Arabidopsis thaliana: one gene and its partners. The protein of the gene in region 1 interacts with the protein of each later gene in a pairwise test. Each region holds a gene or a part of one and is shown on either strand. Other genes may lie near its edges.

Region 1 (5,678 bases):
CACAGAAAGCTTCCTGATTTTTAAAAGAGTTAAAAAACAATGCCAAAAATCGAATCTTTTGGCAAGAGAGATTGTGTTATACCTCACATCCAGGTAACGAATCACGAACGAAATCGATCTCTTCATCAGTCAAATTGAAATTAGCGAGAAATTTGATGCATTCTTCTAAACCAGCAAAGATAGTGTATTCTCCACCAAAAGGATTCTTACGAAAATACAGATCAAACCTGAAAACAAAGATGAGATTTTACAGTGTGGATTCAAAGGATCGAACTTTTTTGTAAATTTTGAAGAATACTAACACAGATCGCTCAGATTGTTTGCCAGCTTTCCAATAAGCATAAGCCATGGTGAATTGGTAAAGATCGTTGAGCAGAGGTGTGACCATCGGGTTAGTGGGTCCGTTAATGACCCGACCCGATTGCTTTCCATCGAGACCATTTTCTTTCTTCTCCATTAGAACTCTGTTTTTGGTTCCGGCGTCTCCAGCGAGTTTATTTATGAGTGTTTTTTAGGAGAGGGTCGTCACTGAGTCTTTAACAAAAAGAGAATGACGAAACTTTAGTATCTAAATTTTTTTCAAGTTTCAACTACAGTCGCATTCAAATATATTTTGTTCTCTGATATTTTCACCGAAAGAGAATCCTAATTACTTTTCCTTTTTTCAAAATATATCGTTGTATGATTTTACTTTTATTGTTGTTTTACAAATAAAATAAAATAAATAAATTGTATGTTCAATACTAGTTTTTGAAAAAAATATAAGATTTATGTATTTTCAATCCAATTTTAAATAAAGTTCTAGCTCTGTCCCTTTTACTTACTAAAGATTAATTGGAGAACTAAAGCTATAAGTATACTAATTAAGGGTTAATAAGATATTTAAGCATTTTTTAATTATCATAAAAGATCTTAAAACAACACTTATAAATGAAAAACTTTTAAAAGACACTTACAAATGAAATTACTAATATACCAAATGTAAGTACAAAAATGTGAAGGGTAAAAGATTTTAAAAAATTGTATTGTAAATGATCAATTTGAGAACAAGAGATACCAAAAGAACATGGTCAACCTTAAAGATACCAAATCCATCTTGTAGAATCGAAAACTTCTCTAGAAGCTTATCGGGGTAATTTACATATCCAAAGCCATCGAGTATCAAACTCTCAAATACAATACGAAGATGATCTAGAAAATTTACATCCACCATAAACATACAACAATCTAACAATTAGTCAATTACTTTGTAATAAAATTTCAGTCCTTTTTATATATAGCTATTAGATCCAAAAGATTAGACTCTAGAATTCGTGTCACCAACAATTGATTTTAAATAGAACCTTAGAAAAAATAAAGACAGTTAAATGCATCTCCATTGTCAGACAGCTTTATGGCTTGCGTTCTAAGAAACAAGAACACATAGAGATCCCGAAGTTGGGACACTGTTCAAGTAATTCGATCTTTTAGGTCAGGTTGTCCATCAAACAGAGCTTGTTCCCCTGCAAATCCCCAAATATCGTAACGTTATTAACATTGTAAATGTCCTAAAACTTCCTTAGGATTCCAAAACAACAAGACTTTACCGGTTATGTTTGCGTTGGAATGACCAATGTTCAACCTTGGATGAGTTAACCCACCTTCCCGACTCATCTCCTTAAGTAACAAAAAAAAATTAGTAAGCAAACTAGCTTTATGGTTATAGAATGAAAAATGTGTAATTCAACTACGCACCACGGGTGAAGTAAGGAGAGGGAAAGGTCCAAAGTGACTGCGAATAGAAGGTTCCAAAGCGTATGAAGAAGCCACAGTATTGATCATTTCCGGTGCATTAGAAGTCGAAGCAAACTGATTGGTATGATTAAGCAGAGGATCATTGGTTGCTTCAGGGGGTCGAATCTGAGAGAGTTGCAATGGGTGTAATGTAGTTCCAGGTAAACACAAAGGATGCAAGTTTATTCCATTTCTCATAGTCAACATCTGCAAATATCAGAACAAAAAAAGACTTATGTCAGAATATAGACTGGTTTTAGGATTTTGGTTATAATGATAAACATAAGGTATCTTTAGTGACCTGAACTTGGAGCTGAAGCTGTTTCAGATACTCAATGGCTTCATCAAGCATTGAAGCCTTATCCGTCTTCCCCAATAAACACATTGCAATAATCAGACACAAAAAGAATCTACAGAAAATAGAATGATTCATGTAGATGTCTCTCTATATATAGTATCATTACCTTATTTGAATTAGGGATGAGACTTTGTAAAGCTTTCATTTTTTCATTAATTCTACTTCTCCTCCTCTGTTACAAGAAAGATAAACATAAATCTCAAATAAGAAAGTTTCTACTTTTGGGAGAGACTCTAAACCAAACCTTCTCAGAGAGATTATGAACTTCAGCAGCTCTGCATCTTTTAGATGAACTACGAGAAGAAGGACCTGACTTGGAAGAGGGAGCTTCATCAACTACAGCTTCTCCTCCTTCCTGTATTTTCATTGAAGCAAATTATCAAACACTCGGTGTGCATTCATTATTACACTCACAAATGACAAAACTTCACTCAAAATCACAACCAAAAAAATTGCGGATTTTAAGGGGGAAAATAAAGTACAGATCCGTTAAAGAGAAATCTCTGTAGAAACATTTTCTCGGGAAAGAGACAAAGAATCAACTTTTAAAACATGCAAAAGATAAAAAACAGAGATTGAGAAAAAACCTCGCTTTCACAGTCATACTCATCTGTCTCGTTGCCACTAGCTCCAACGGAAGAAGACGATACTCGAGTCCCAGAGCTATTTCCTTGAACGTTGTTATTATTACCACCACCGGAGAAACCAAAACACGCGGCGGCTGAGCCTGATCCTCCGCCGATTAAAACCTCAGAGAAATCTCCGACACGTTTCGACATAAGCACAGAATCTGACGGTGGATGATGAGAAACGAGACTTCTCGAGTTATCTGCATGTGGGTCACCGCTCCCGTGCACACCAATCAAAGACGCCGTCGTTGTAGTCGTCGCCGGGGAGTAGTAAGAAGGTAAAGGAGAAGAACGGTCGAAAATATGCCGGAGAAACTGAGAGATTTCGTCGGAAGAAGACGGAGGATGATGAAGATGATGATTGATACGAGTATCGTAAACCGAGGAAGAAGAAGAAGATGAAATCAATTTCTTATCTCCCATCACTCTCTGCTTCTTCTCTTCTCTTTCTTCTCTCTGTGATATCATTACACCAACAACAAAAAAAAAGCAGTTAAAGCTAAAACATTTTTTTTTTTAAACAGTCTTTGAGATTTTATGGGCATGGAGAGAGGGAGAGTGTCTGTCACGCGCCAGCTAAGAAAACAGAGGTTAAAATGATTGGTCTGTCATTTAGTTAAAAGTGAAGGTAGCTGTTACTGTAGCATTAGCAATGAGCTTGTGTCAGCTCACGGTTTTTCAAACTAGTCGTAAATATTAAATGTTTTTACTCTCCCAAAACTTTTCCTCGTCGCACGTGAGACACACTAAACTACTACTCGTAGTTAGTTTTTTTTTTTTTTGGGGTAACAAATAATATACAACCTTTATCTGTTTTCTCATAGTTTATTATTTAAAATGGAAATCTGCTACGGATGAAATCGATAAAGTTAATATTCATATCATTTAGAAGAAAACAAAAACTGTATTTGTATATCTCAAAGTTTAATCTGATGGAGAGATTTTTAAGAAGTCCATTAATCTATAGAAAACGAAAGTTATACGTCTTGGTTGTTTGACAAAAGTATTTCCATTTCTAGTAATTTGTTTTTTTACTTGTTACCATTAATTAGTATTCAAATTTTGTATGATATTGTAACCCGTGGCGTGATAAACAAGAATACATTAGTTGCTTGTTTGCTAGTTTATTCTATTGACTAGTATATAAGAAGCCCATGCTACTGACATGCGTTAAATTACTTGCGACTTTGATTTGTTCTTGTGTTGTGAAAATTATTAACTTTACGGTGTGTGTTTTCAACTATATACCTCGTTCGTATGCTTTCAAATTGGAACATAACATCTGCTATAATTAACTATCGAATTTTTAGTAAATTCATTTTATATGATCCAGCTTTATATCTAGTGTTTTATAGTAAGTTTTATAGAATAATTCTATAAATAATGATGACCACGTTCACATATCCAATTTGCGGCGAACAAAGTGAATGCACGAAAGTTTCCAATTGCGTTCTCAACTGTGCAGACAGCAGCATCAATTCTTTAATGAAGTATTTTTAAAATATTGGTCGTAAATTTGTAAATATATTTTGATCGTTCGCAGCGTATGAAGACTTAAAAAAAAAGAAGTTAAAGTTATATATATTTACACTATATAGTTGTTAGTAGTATTTTATTTTAGTTTTTGCACTGAAAACATCAATCGTACTTGTTCGCTTGATGAATGCACAAACTGCATCATTTATTTCATTGCAACATTCACTTAACCTCGTATATACAATTTTTGAAACAAAGGAAAAGCATATGGGAGACAATTGCTAAAAGCTGCAGCTATTTGTTCAGCATCTGCTTTTGATTCAATTATTTTATTAAGTTCGTTTTTCTGGTACTATTTATACATATACAAAATAATTGTTTTATTAAATATCAGAATTAGAAAGTGACATTGTAGAGTCCAAATGCTTATAGTGGAATTTGTAATTGAGAACATACACAACAAAATGCGAAAAAAAATAATGAAAAAAGCGTTTAATCGTCAAATTAAACAAGGGATCTGATTTTACTCAATTACTCAACATACATATCTCATTATTTTGAATATCCTTATCAAATTCAACAAGATATACACATAAAAAGACAAGATTTACTACGGCTTCTAGAATTGTCAAAGATATTAATGAAACGATGGTTGAGATCTCTTTAATAATTTGTTCAAAATCAGCATGATACACTTTTTATTTTGTCTAGATTCTAAGAAGATAGTTGAATGTTTTCTCTGGTTTTTTAATTGGTGGTTTGATAGAATTTTCAAGTTGAGTCTCTGTATGTTAAAAGACCCATACCTCGTTGTCTTGTCTGATTTGAAAGTCGGAAAACAAAATAAAAAACAAAGATGATCCTAAACTTCTTTTTCACCTTTTATCATCGTTTCCCTTTTTCTTTATATAAAACACTGGCAATATCATATTTACTCATATACAACTATTTACCCATCTAAAACAGACCAAAGTTTCCGTAATACATATGCACCATAACAAGGATAACATAAATCAAACTCACGCTATTAAAAAGATCAATGTTTTTTAAGTTGTTCGTTGGTAGTTTCGAAGACAAACCAACCATAAGTACCTTACGAAACTCCAGAAGAGATATATTGCAGAAGTAAATGATATGCATGTGTTACACTTAACACATATAACTACATCCTAAAAGATTATGCGACCTAAGGACAAACTCTTCTCACACAACAAAAACAGTTCTTACTCTGTTTTTTTCTCCAAAGCTTTTTTCTTTTCGTCACAAATTCTGTAGCGGTTATCTTTCTTTTTTTTTGGTCTAATGTTAAACTCGGTTATCTTTTTATTGTTCAAGACATCTATATATTGCTGATTTGGACAATTTACAATTCTCCATATGAAGATTGTTGGTCTCTTCTTGCTTTATTTTGTTCTGCATTTGACGCAAAATACATAACATAT
Region 2 (4,571 bases), on another chromosome or scaffold:
AGGCCCAAGGGACGTTTATTTTAAAAAGCTACTGATCCCTTTACAAATTTACGAACAAATAAAGCATATCTTCGAAATTACCAATCTGTATCACACAAAAAAACAACAACACTGAGATATGGAAATTTTCGAGATTAATCTAACGGTGAAGTCCTTATGTGAAATTACGAAACTGCCTTATTCATGTTCATCTTCATCTTTCTGAAGTACCCCTTTTGCTCCCAGAACAATGTCCGCCGTCGTGCTCCGACCAAAACATGTAGTCTAAGTCTAATACTAGTTTGTATCATTATCTGTTACAACAAACATATCTGTGTACGGTAAAGGGCTTATCTTTGTGAAATGGATCTTTATTTGGGCTTTACCTTGTGACACAATAATATGTAGCCTTGGTTTGTGATATAAATTATTTTTTAAAGTTGGGATGTCAGCTGGGTTTCTCCATCTTCTGTAATGAATGTAGTTGATTCAAGTTCCGAGAAATTTATGAAGAAGCAAAAAAAAGAAAGCAAAAAAAAAACATTTAAGTACGAGATAGATTGATATACACTCATTCAAAAGAGAAAAAGTTATTTATACAGCAAGATAGTAGTAGTAATACAATCTGCCTTTCTAGTTTGTTAACTAAAAAGAAGAACAATAGAAAACATATAATTTTACATATATAACTCACCAATATTAAAATCAATATATATGGTAATTTATTTTCTAAACAATTTTTGTTTTATTTCATAAGAGTCTGTTTTCGTTTAATTTAATAAGAGGCTTAGACTTTTGTATTTATATATTAATTATTACATGCATTGAAATTTTGCAGAATCTTACACTCTAAAAGTATGATATATATTTTTATTTTTCAATAAGTGTTAAAATGCTAAACAACACCACAGATGTTCGTGTTATCGATTTGTCTCCAAAACTTCCTGTTATCTATAAAGTTGGCTCACAAAATCATACACCTATGCATCAAGAACGTACCACAGGTACGAAATGCCATAAATTATAAACTTTTGACGCTTACATTGGAAACAAGACAGAAAACAATACTATTATTCAACTCACAAAACCTTAACTAGATGTCTGAAAGCTAAAACATGTTGCATTGATCAGTGACAAGAGACTATTTCATTTAGTAATGATAAATTGATAAACTATGCTTATTCTTTAGTCTTTACAACCAAGTTGTCTGACTTTTAAATTGTTAATTAACCATCCCAAACATTATCGAAACCCGGAAAGATAAAAACATTTAAAAAAAATGCTCTCATAGTTTCATGATACTAAATTCAACTCCCTCGATAATATTTTTTCCCGTCATATTAATAAACATATGATATATATTTAAAAATCAACATCATCATCATCTAAGAATCTGTGCATTTCCAAGCATCTGGTGATGATCAGACCGCATAATGCCACACCCTTTTCCTCCATATCCTCCACCAACAGTACCCGCAAGTGCTCCTCCGGCCACCGCCGTCATTCCTCCGCCGTTAACCACCGCATGTTCCTCCAGCGACTGCACTTGCTTCTTGAGAAACTTAACGTAATGGATAGCCTCATCGAGCATCGACGCCGTATCCATCTTAGTCCCACCGGGAACAAGCCGCTGAAGAATCCGAATCCGCTCGCTTATCCTCTCCCTTCGATGCCGAGCTGCCACGCTCTGTGGATCCTTAGAGATCCTCACGTTCTTTCTCTTTGGTGGCTTTACGGATTCCGGATCAATATGTATAGGCTGCATCACGGCTATTCGAAAGATCATCTCTCTCATCGCCGCCATGTTGGCGTTGTCGCTGCAGCCTCCTCTCTTCTCCGGGAGAGATGATGACGGGGAGGGGGCGTACCGGAAATTTAAACCGGGTTGGTGGTGAGGCATGGTTTGGTCAAATGGGAGATGAGAATGAGTGGGGTTGAAGAAGAACGGGTGGGTGTTGGATTCAGAAAGCATCATAATGTTATGGGGATTAGGGTTAGGGTTTGAGTTAGAGAAGTGTTCAGGAAGCTTCTCCATCTGCTGCATCATCATGTTCATTAGAATGTCGGAGTTATCCATCCTCCTTTTTTGTGGAATTTATAGGGTTTGTTTTTTCTTTGAGAGATATGGAGAAGCTGGTGAGATAAGGTATGGAGGAAGAAGAAGATGGACTGACAAAGCTTGAAATTTAGGGCTTTGTGTGTCTGAATCACAGAAGAGATGATGGTGGAAGACAGAGGGAGAGTTATGTGCGAAATGTAAACTGTTACTACCAATCAGAGATTCAGCAATATAAAAGGAAGTGATGGATTTATATAGCACTTTGTGACCCATTCTTATTATTTTACTCCTTTTTATTACATATATAATTTATAACAATTAGGATTGTTTTCCTTCTTCTATTTTTCACACTCCTAAAACTTTGTAACACACACGTATATGTATTTAGTAAATATATGTATGTATACATTAACGTACACTAGCTAGCAGTTGAAAATTTGTTCATTGCTTTGACATGGATGTTTCAACCTTCCATATGCATTGGACAGTTATATTTATGTTGCACGTATTTTTTTTAACTATAAATAAAATTATACTATTTATTTTATGACAAAAAATATAAATTTATTTACTTTAAACTTTCAATACCAGTTTTGCATAAATTAGTTGGTGTACTTATATATACTTTTGTCTGGAATCATTGCAACTCGCAAGAGATTGGAATCACTAGTCACTTGGTGTCACTAAAATTAGCTGATGAATGGAAAATTCGTTTTGAGTCATATTTCATGAAGGATATTATCCTTTGTCTGGATCAACCGTTCACGTGTCACAATCGGTGGGATTTTGGACCCACGAGTTGTGAACTAAGGCGCTTCTGGACAAATGAAGGTGCATGAACCGCTCTCACCATTTGAGGCAGCAACCATGAATTTTCCTATTTCTACAATTTTAATTTGTTTTCAAAATATAAAAATAAATCTTTTATATAAGTTCGAATGAGTGTAATGGGAAAGACTGAAAGAGAGAGTAGTTGTGTAGTTTTTTTTTTTTGGTATCTAAATTTTATACTACTGTTTTTTTTTGTTTATAATTGTTAATTACCCCACATCCACATGAAATATGTCAGAATCCAGGGAACCCATCTGTTTCGCCGGGATCTGTTCAGGCGACGGCGAAACAATATTACCTTGAATTCAAGTTTTCTTATTTTAACTTTTAACCTGGATGGATCCAATATGTTATGCATGAGAATATTAATGAGATGCACTGTCTTCGTTAGTAAGTAGTAAATAAGATTGATGTTATAACTTCTTTGAACATGCTTGAAGAAAACGTACTACGTTATTATTTTTTTGCATGATTTTTTTGTTTTTGTTTAAATGAGTAATATAGTGAATTTCTCGAGTTTCACAAATACAAACCATCATGTTAACGTATTTAGTTTATATGAATTTGTTTTGCAATGTATATACTAAGGGAGTGTATATTATGGAAGAATATTATCTTATATATAATGGACTCAATATAATCGAACCTCACTTGGCGTCGAGCGTTGGTATATGGCACGCTTATCAAAGCCGATCGGAAAGGACTTATTGCGATCTTCATTAAATTATTTTTCTCTTTATTTTAAGAACTTTACGTGAACATAGAGTAGTACTGTTTATTGACAAAAAACAAATAAAGAACAAAAGAAAGAAATTCTTATAACATTAGTTAACAAAGGAATTGCACTTCAACAACCAAATTAATAATAAATGACTCTTTCCTTAAAAATGCATACGTCAAACGTCAAAAACCTCACAATCTTCAATCAAGATCAATGCTTGGCTTCATTTGTGCAAAATCATCGGGTTTTTTCTTTTCATTCATAGAAATCATCTCTTTTGACGTCACAAAAGTAATTGCTTACTTGTTAATTAAAATTATTATGAGTTCGTCTTCTACCCTATAATTAGCCTAAAATAGACAGACACAGTAAGTTGCTTTGGACTTGGTTTTACCCTCTTATGTTGACACTGAAACATGTAAGAAAGCTAACGAAACGATGACGTTTCGCTGCTCTCTCTTTTTCAATCAGCTTCGTAAGTAACAAAAATAGATGCTATTTTCCCCTTTTCACCTTTTTACTTACACAAAGTCACTGTAAGAATTAAACACTCCTCCTTCCCACCGAATCTAAATTTCTTAACCAAGATTCCAAGTCTTGTTCGTACAATTTTTTTTTTTGTCTCTCGAGAACTTCCTTTTTCGATTTTTTTTCTTTAATTATTGAACTGTTTAATCAAAGTCGCCCATGTCATTCACTACGTTATTGATTGAACAAATGCCGTTAAAATCGACAGCAAATTTAAAAATGTACTAATAAAGAATAAGAACTCAGAATGGAAAACATTAGCTAAGATTGTTTACTGAAATTTGCGATGCAACTCTAAAACGCCAATGACGATTTGTTTAGTTGGAAGAATCTTTTTGTAAAAAAGTTTGAAAAATCTTTATGTATTTAACATATCTTGATCAGATAGTACTCTCATCAATTCACCGAATAAAAAATGCAAAGATCATATATGATGTAATTTTATATGAAACT
Region 3 (4,389 bases), on another chromosome or scaffold:
GGAGTCCATCAAGGACCAACTGTATCCTTGAACTTTTCATGATGTTTCATCTACTTCTATCCCCAAAACCAAAAGGCCAAAAGCCACATAAGTCACTTTCTAATGGTTAATGATTCATGATCATGACTTCCATCATTCATCAATTATACACTTTTATAAATGTTGTAAATGTGTATACATTTATATAGTATTATACACTTTTATAAATGTTGTTGTTTATATATATGTATACATATATACTTTTATAAATGTTGTAAATGTAAATGTATATATATATATATATATATATATAAATGTGTATAATACTATATAAATGCAGTGCAATGCAAAAAAAACTTTTGTTATATACAAAGCGCATTGAATATAGAGGAAAACAATATGAGCTAGGAGCACTGAACTTCTATTTCATATTTAAATGAATATAATCTTTTCAATTAATATTTGGTAGAATAGTTCTATATATAGAATTGTAGTAACAACGAGATTTCAAATTCAAATAAGTGTTATGATTTTATTTTGAATGAATATCGATAATTGAATAATTTTATGATATATTTTTATATAATGTTTTGTTTTAAAATAAAAATTAATATAGACTGATGTGATCATATAAAACTAAAGACAGTCCCAACATCGTTCATATCACATCCACTAGAAATTCCAATATTTAGAAGATCTCTTGGATACTTGAAGAGTACCCCTAAAGATCATAATTGGGATATGGTTTTTTTGAATAAGGGTTATAAACATTGATGCAAATTCGAGTCCTTAAGTATATGTTTACTGAGTTTTGATGGTGCAAATACTTTAATGGACAAAGGATTTTGTGAACCTAAATATAATTATGCCCTTACGGTGATCTGAGAGGGAAAAGGGAAAGAAGAAAAAGCAAGAGGACAAAGGCTGTCTTTATGATTCTGAAGTCAACTTATAGAAAAGAAAAAAAAATCTTAATTTGTTCAAGATATATATTTTTGTCCTTTAGGTATTGTCTTCATCCAGCACCTCGAGTATTTTTACTTTATTTTTGTTATTACCTTTGCTCATAACCGACATATGTCATACACAATTAATTAACTTCGCTCATACTCAGATAAAAATTGTTCTTTGCTAAAACATAGAGATAAATTGATCATAGCACTAGACGAAAAATTAAAAGACAAAAGATTTGAGTTAGTTACCCTTAACCTCATTTCTTACAACCCTAAAGAAACTGTGAAGTGATAAGCACGTAAAAAGTAGAACAACAACAATATTCTAATAATCATCATGAAAGCAATACTGATAAAACATTCCACCATTTCCGTTCTGCTGCATCTTAGCTGAATCAAACCCATTCTCATGATCAGCCCAACCTAACTCTCCATGATATTTAACCTGACCGAATCCGTTTCCTTCGACATGGAAGTCAGCTAAACGAACATCTGTCTGAAAACCGCTCTCTGGCATCGTCGGGAAAACACCAACCGACTGTTGGTTGCTCTTTGGAGGTATAGAAGCATGTTGAGAGATAGGTTTTGGTAAGAAGCCTTGAACAATTTCTTGAAGAAGACCAGAACTAGCTGGTTCTGGTTCAAAGATATTTGATATCAGGCTCTCGTTCTCAATGGTACTTGACCTCTTAGCTTTAGGCGAGAGATCTTCACAGACATCGTTGACGTTAGTGAAGGACTCGTGAACAACGTCGTTTACGTTAGAAAGATTACAAGGCGGGTAAGCGAAAGTGGTTAACGGAGAAAGAGACTGAGAGTTTAACACGTCTCGTAGAAGGAACATATTCATTGGAGGAGACGAGAAAATACGGTGGTGATAAGAGTCGAGAGAAGGCATTGGGTAGACGAAGTTGGTTCGAGCTTTAAGACCACGCATGGCTCGAGCGGCGCAGTCATATGCGCAAGCTGCTTCCTCGGCCGTGTCAAATGTTCCGAGCCATCGTCTCTCCTTGGACAATGGGTCCCGTATTTCAGCTGCGTAACGACCCCATGGCCTACGCCTCACGCCTCGGTACCTTATCGTAGAGACACCGGAAGCGCCGGCGCCGGAGGCAGCTTTTGCGGTAGTTACTCCTCCGGGAGAGCCAGGAGCTGTCGAGGAAGTTCTTGATGGCTTTCTTTTCAAAGAATGGATGTTGGTTTCTCTGTGCTCGGCACCTTCGAGTCTCATGATTGCTTCTTCCATGGTTGACCTAAGGGAAATTTTTAAAGCTAAGAATTTTTCTTTTTGTTCTGTGATTGTCTTAGGGTTGTGAGGCACCTGAATGTGATGATAGCTGATTACGTATTTATAGAAAATAAAATATACATTTTTATTGTTTTTAATTTAAGATGGACCTGACCCAATATATAATTTAAAAAAATGGACTTGCATTGCATCTTTTATTGACTTGTGAGTTGTGAATCTATGAGAGATGCAGAAAGCAAAAGTACGTTTAACGAAGTTCTTGTTCCACGTTCGAACTTACATGTCTTTTCTTTTTCCTTTTCTACGGACTTGCATAAAAGCAGTTATAAGTTACATATTTCATGTCTTTTTGACAAGTAACAAATTCATAATTATGATGTACTATTTTTATCTTAACCCTTGCACCATTCTTTCTTATTGTCAGAGTATAAAGGTCCTTTGATACTGTTGATTAAAGGTCGATTTATTCTTTTGTTTTAAGTGAAAGACATGAATATATTTCAGAAAACTTTCTTGAACAATTTACAAATTAAAATTATAAAATCATTGATTTCATTTATTTTTGAACAAATTCAAAGGTCATCGTTTTCAGCTATTTCCGTTGGTCATATTATTCTTTAATCTTTACGCACTTTTCTTTAATTGTGTTTTGGGAAATAATCAATGGTCATTAATTTATAATAATAATGAATTACAGTAATAATAATAAGCAATAGAGTTAAAAGTGATTTATACAGTAGTTTGTGGAAGGGAAAATTATGATGTTGGAGTTGAAGCTTAAAAGGAGAGGGTTGAAAATCGTGAAATTATGATTCTGAATTAATAACACTGGCGGCGCGCAGAAATTGTTCCTTCTACATGAGGTTGTGTTTTGTCTGTTCTTTTTACGAGATTATGGTCGATTTGCTTATTTAGGGTTTTGCTTTTTAATCTGTAAACCAAAGTCACGTGGATTTGTCTCAACTAGGGCTCTTTCTTCATGGTGTAGCCTCTTTAGGGCTTTCCTACTGTAGCTCGATTGTGACTAATGACCCTTTGCGTTTACGGAAATCAATCTCCACCACTAATTTCGTATATATATGTTTGATAATTAATGTAATTTCGCATTTACATAAAAAATAATCTAAATCTCTCTCACATTCTTGATCAATTAATGTCTGTAAAGCTCCATTCATATTCGAGCCCTAAATATAAGGGTTGAATGCAAAAAAAAAAAATCCGTCAAAAAAAGTTTTATCACGCCTAGGAGAAAAAATTATCAATCGTCTAAATATAAGGGTTGCATGCAATTATCACGTATGTTATTATGTTTATCACGTAATTATTGACATATATCGCGTAGGAGAAAAAAAATATATCAACGCAGAAGTCTTTTAGGAGTGTCTAAATATTTTGCCGTTGTTATATATATAACGATTTACAATCATATCTAATTGCATGTAATTTTTTTTTCATTTAGGTTGTGCCGCGAAAAAATATGCAGATTGAAAAGAAAAAAATAACAAACAAAAAAATGGAATAAATATGTGAGGCAAACAAAAACAAAACTATGTTTCCTCAACAAAACGTTGGCAAATCATGTCTACAAACAGTAGATGTTGAAGGAAGAGAAGTCGTGAGCTCCTTGTGGAATTAGTGGATTATGAAGCTGAACACCACAGAGCTCAGTTTGTAAGGAATCGAAATCACTTTTAAAAAATGTGGAAATTTGTGGAAAACTTGAACCTATATAACGGTGGTATCAACTTGTACGTACACGGTACAACATATCAACAGAAGATTAATTCATGAAGTAGTTTGAATAATCGGCTCTAGCTAGATCTTTAATTCATAGAAATCAGACTAATATTCTAAACCTAAACGATATGGACGTCAATTTGTCAGATGGAGAAAACGGGAAAACTGTTAAGAAAAGAAAATCCTATATTTCTATTTTGATGCATGCTTCCGTCTTTCGAAACTACAAAGAATTAATTTGTAACTTTATGAGTTATGACAACAAAAAAAAGAAGTATTATCATAGCTTTGAAATATATAGGGTGGAGTAGTGAAAAAAAAAATATAGGGTGGTGAACACTATTGATTACATGATATAGATTATTGAGAAATTCCCAATATATCCACATAAAAGAATTAAATGAATGAGAGAATGTGAAAATGTGCTATTTGAACCCAAAATCTTAATTTATTTAATTCAAAAAATAAATG
Region 4 (4,256 bases), on another chromosome or scaffold:
AATACTTCGTCCTCCGCCAGTACAATGACCGTCGATCTGTTACGCCGTCGTCTTCCTCCGTAACTTCGAAGCTTTCTTCACCGTCGATGATATCGAATTCATCGGAGTGAGAGATCGGCCAGTCGAATCCGTCGGGTAGAAGAGTGAGAGATGGATTATCGGAAAGAGATTCAGATCTCTGGAGAGAAATGAAAGTGAGAAGAGAGAGAATGAGGAGGAGATTGAGAGACGAAGCTGCCATGGCGATTGTTGGGGGAAACTAGAGCGAAGAAGAAGAGGAGGAAAATAAGAAGAAGAGAGTAATAAGGAAGTCACATGTAAAGAGGTGATTGGGGTTTTACAGTTGTGAAGAGATTTTGGGGGTTCTAATTAAATGCGCCATTTATGGACCTCCTCGAGCTTTGTGCTTTTGAGTTTTTTTTTTGGTGAGTGTGTTAGTGTGACGATGAGTGATCTGGTGGGACACGGTGTAGGATAAGAGAAGTGGAAATGATTGGTTGTGAGCCCTTGGATTGTTGGCCTGATTTGATGAGAGATTAATGGGCCAGGCTTTCGTTGGTTTTTTTTGGTATACGAGTAGGTCTTTTTGGGCTTCATCAAAACAGCCTTTGTGATAGCTAGGTTGTGTTTTTAAAAAGATTCGGATGGGTCCAGTTGTTTTTGGGTCCTGAATAATATAGCTGATAACATAAAAGACTACTAATTGTGTAAACAATGAGAAAAAGACCAATCCTGAGACTGTTACACAAAAGCAAAGGCCCAGTTGAATATTTAATAGCATCTTAATGAAATTATTCTATAGACCAAATTTCTTGTAAGATTTTGTTTTAAGTGAAAAATAATTTTTATTGTTTAATGCTTTGAAATTACTGATCATTTAATGAAGATGTTAATTTCTTCCTCAAATCCATCAGATTAGACATTAACAATTGAAAATAAATAATCGTGGACTTTTTGGTTAGTCATATTCTCAAATCTGTATACAAGTATAAGAGTATAAACTCAAATTTTGAAATTTTAATTTTTAATTTAAGAAAAAAGTATAGATATTTGCATGTTGAAAACAGCATTTAGTTTTTAGACAAATAAAAAATGAACACAAGCCTGATAGCTGAAAGCATAATACTGCTTTAATTATTTGATTAACAAGGATACAATGATAATAGTTCCTAATTTACAAACTCGCTCCAACAACCATGGAGAGTCTTTGGCTTTAAAAACCATCATTACACATTATCTAAACAAGAAAATAAAGTTAAATTAAAGACTCTCACATAAATTACTTGGCTTCCCTCTCCAGAATCATTTTTCTCTTTTTCTCCAACATTAATATAATAATAATAAAATTAAAAATCATCATCATCTAAGAATCTGTGCATTGCCCACCATCTGATGAGTCCCCACTGTTCCACACCCTTTCATAACCACTCCCCCGCCGCCACCACCACCACTCGCCGCCGTCATTCCACCTCCACCGATCAAAACCCTTCCTCCTCCTCCTCCCCCTCCGCCAGTAACCACCGCCTGCTCCTCCAGAGACTGCACCTGTTTCTTTAAAAACTTCACATAATGAATTGCTTCATCGAGCATCGAAGCTGTATCCATCTTCGTCCCACCAGGAACAAGCCGTTGCAAAATCCGAATCCTCTCGCTTATTCTCTCCCTTCTATGCCTAGCCGCCACGCTTTGAGGATCTTTAGAGATCCTGACGTTCCTCCTCTTCGGTGGCTTAACCGCCTCGGGATCGATATGGATCGGTTGCATCACGGCGATACGGAAGATCATCTCTCGCATAGCTGCCATGTTCGTGCCATTATTGTTGTTGTTACTGTTGTTTCTTTTGTCAAGAAAAACGGAAGAGTAAGCTGTGTTGGGAGAGATAGAAGAAGGGTTAGTGAGTAAACCGGAACCGTAGCGGAAACCTGGTTCGTTGGTCATTGAGTGATCGGACTGGTAATGAGTGGAGTTAAAGAGAAAAGGGTAAGTGTTGTTGTGGTCGGGAGAGAAGAAAGAGGAATTAGGGTTACAAAACTCAGGAAGCTTCTCCATCTGATGCATCATCATGTTCATTATGTCAGAATCCATAGAGAAAGATATGGAGAAGCTGATAAAATGGGTATGGAGAGAAACTGGTGAAAAGCTTACAAGTGAAATTTTAGGGTTTTTTCTTTTGGATGATTGATGATTGATGATGAGAGAAAGAGACGGTATGTGTGAGAGAAATGGCAATGGTACTACTGTGCCCAATCAGAACTCAAGCAATAGTATACAACAAGAAGTGGAAGGATTTATATAGCAACTTGTGGCCCATCCATCTTCTTTAACTTATGCTACACATATATAATAAAAAGGAATTTCTTCCCATTTTCAACTCTCACATTTATGGGCATATATGTATATATTCAATTTCAAAATTTGTCTTCTTGTCTAAGTGCAAATTCCACATGCATTCGGTCATTCGGACTAACTTACCAATGTAATATCATATATCAACTATTATAGGTTATTATATACCAAGGCAAGTAAAATATTGAGGTGGATTTTATTCCTCATATTTGAACTTGTATGATGATAAAATTCCCAAACATTAATGTTAGGAAAAATCATTTTTATAAAGCCATAATATTTTCGTTCGGTTGCGAATAGAAGCTATGAAAAAGTGTGTACACGTAGGAGTTACTATAAGTAGAATTATTGCGTAACATAACTTGGATCCAAAAAGAAAAACAAGTAAAAAAAGACTAAAAGAAGTAAGAAAAATGGTTCCATTAATGAGTATCGATGATGACCGTCGATAATTGACCAATGGTTTATTTTATCGCATTTATCGACCGTCCAGATCATGTTTGTTGTAAACACGTGGCTTACATCTATTGGTGTTCAGATCCACTAAAGGCAAAGAAGGCATAACGCGTTACGCGACAAAGCAAGGTTCATGAACCGGTCGTCTCACAAGCACAACAACGAGTATTCCATTTTTTCCACCATTATTATTGTATTCATTTCATAATCAACACTTTTGTATGTGAAAAAGGTCAATTAGGTTTCATATAATAGCTGGAGTAAAAGATTATCAACTGGTTTTGTTGCACTAATTAACGAAAGTGTTTTCTTCAATCCAAGAAAAACGGTTACTTAACCAAAATATTATAATAAGAGAGAGAGAGGACTATGATTTATAAGATTACCCCACATCCACATGAGATATGTCAGAATCCAGGGAGCAGTATTTTATTCTGTAAAATTTTCTGGTCAGATTTAAATTAACACAGACTCATAACGAGAACGGTTAATACATTAATACATGCGTGTGTGTGTGTATATATAACAAATGGTGGAGGAACAAACGTATATAGATAGATAAGAAATAAGTCAGGATGATTAATTGGATCTCAGTTGACATCAAGCCTTAGCGTATGGCACGCTTCTCAAAGCCGATCTGAGAACGACTTCATTCCTTTTTTATTTTATTTTACTGTTTTTTTGTTACTCACTATCTTAAATTTCGAATTATTCATTTTTGGAAGTTTTTATGTATTATTCTATATAGTAGATTTTATTAAACACTTTTGTTGCTTACCCCCACTGACTTTCCTTCTGGCGAAGGTGCTTTCAGTTTTTATGAAAATTCTCAACCTTTTTTTCTCTCTTGTAAATTGCTTTTTTAACCAAAGAATTTTATGTTGAAATCGAAAACTGAAGAATCATCATCTGCTGCATCTGACAACCCGATATCATTCCCAACAAAGTGGAGATTTTTTCATTCTTATAACTGATTTACAAATTGCTATACAAAAATAGTATGCATTAGTATCGTGTAAAAAAATAATAATAAATGATATAGTATCATTTAAGATGGATCTGATTCGTGATCAGATAATCGTTTGAATATTTAAATATAATGATGGAACATAACCTAAAAATGTACCGTAAACAAGAAGCAGCATCCTAATTAATTGAAAACAAATGACAATAAATGATTCTTACCTTAAAAATACACAAAATCCAAAAGACACCACAAGCTCTCACTGTTCTTTCAAGATCTGTCTCACTTTATTTGTACAAAATCACATTTAAGACTGGTTTTTGTTTTCTAGTTTATTTACATATAACTCTGATTTTCTCCTTAGATGGTTCTTCCCCATGATTAGATAAAAACAGGCAGACAAAGCAAGTGCTTCGATCTTTGTTTTACCCTCCTATGTTGACACCAAAACATGCTAAATCCCACGAAACGTTGACGTTTCACTGCCCTC

The links.
Region 2: the proteins of SPT (region 1) and HEC2 interact in binary tests that used the Arabidopsis thaliana proteins (3 or more experiments, as listed by UniProt).
Region 3: the proteins of SPT (region 1) and DRNL interact in binary tests that used the Arabidopsis thaliana proteins (3 or more experiments, as listed by UniProt).
Region 4: the proteins of SPT (region 1) and HEC1 interact in binary tests that used the Arabidopsis thaliana proteins (3 or more experiments, as listed by UniProt).

Annotation. Positions count from the first base shown.
Region 1 is NC_003075.7:17,411,717-17,417,394, reverse strand, and holds SPT (basic helix-loop-helix (bHLH) DNA-binding superfamily protein), read right to left. Parts: upstream 3,313-5,678; 5' UTR 3,229-3,312; coding exon 2,719-3,228; intron 2,487-2,718; coding exon 2,376-2,486; intron 2,304-2,375; coding exon 2,238-2,303; intron 2,141-2,237; coding exon 2,075-2,140; intron 1,981-2,074; coding exon 1,735-1,980; intron 1,657-1,734; coding exon 1,587-1,656; intron 1,503-1,586; coding exon 1,450-1,502; 3' UTR 1,009-1,449; downstream 1-1,008. Other genes in the region: NAPRT1 (nicotinate phosphoribosyltransferase 1), read right to left, coding at 1-13, 83-227, 303-457. UniProt on the Arabidopsis thaliana protein: Transcription factor that plays a role in floral organogenesis. Promotes the growth of carpel margins and of pollen tract tissues derived from them.
Region 2 is NC_003074.8:18,656,063-18,660,633, forward strand, and holds HEC2 (basic helix-loop-helix (bHLH) DNA-binding superfamily protein), read right to left. Parts: upstream 2,316-4,571; 5' UTR 2,057-2,315; coding exon 1,361-2,056; 3' UTR 893-1,360; downstream 1-892.
Region 3 is NC_003070.9:8,713,132-8,717,520, forward strand, and holds DRNL (DORNROSCHEN-like protein), read right to left. Parts: upstream 2,248-4,389; 5' UTR 2,179-2,247; coding exon 1,258-2,178; 3' UTR 1,234-1,257; downstream 1-1,233. UniProt on the Arabidopsis thaliana protein: Required for correct embryo patterning and cotyledon organogenesis. May positively regulate the gibberellin signaling pathway leading to germination, hypocotyl elongation, and leaf expansion.
Region 4 is NC_003076.8:26,764,105-26,768,360, reverse strand, and holds HEC1 (basic helix-loop-helix (bHLH) DNA-binding superfamily protein), read right to left. Parts: upstream 2,280-4,256; 5' UTR 2,086-2,279; coding exon 1,360-2,085; 3' UTR 1,104-1,359; downstream 1-1,103. Other genes in the region: RALFL34 (ralf-like 34), read right to left, coding at 1-241. UniProt on the Arabidopsis thaliana protein: Required for the female reproductive tract development and fertility.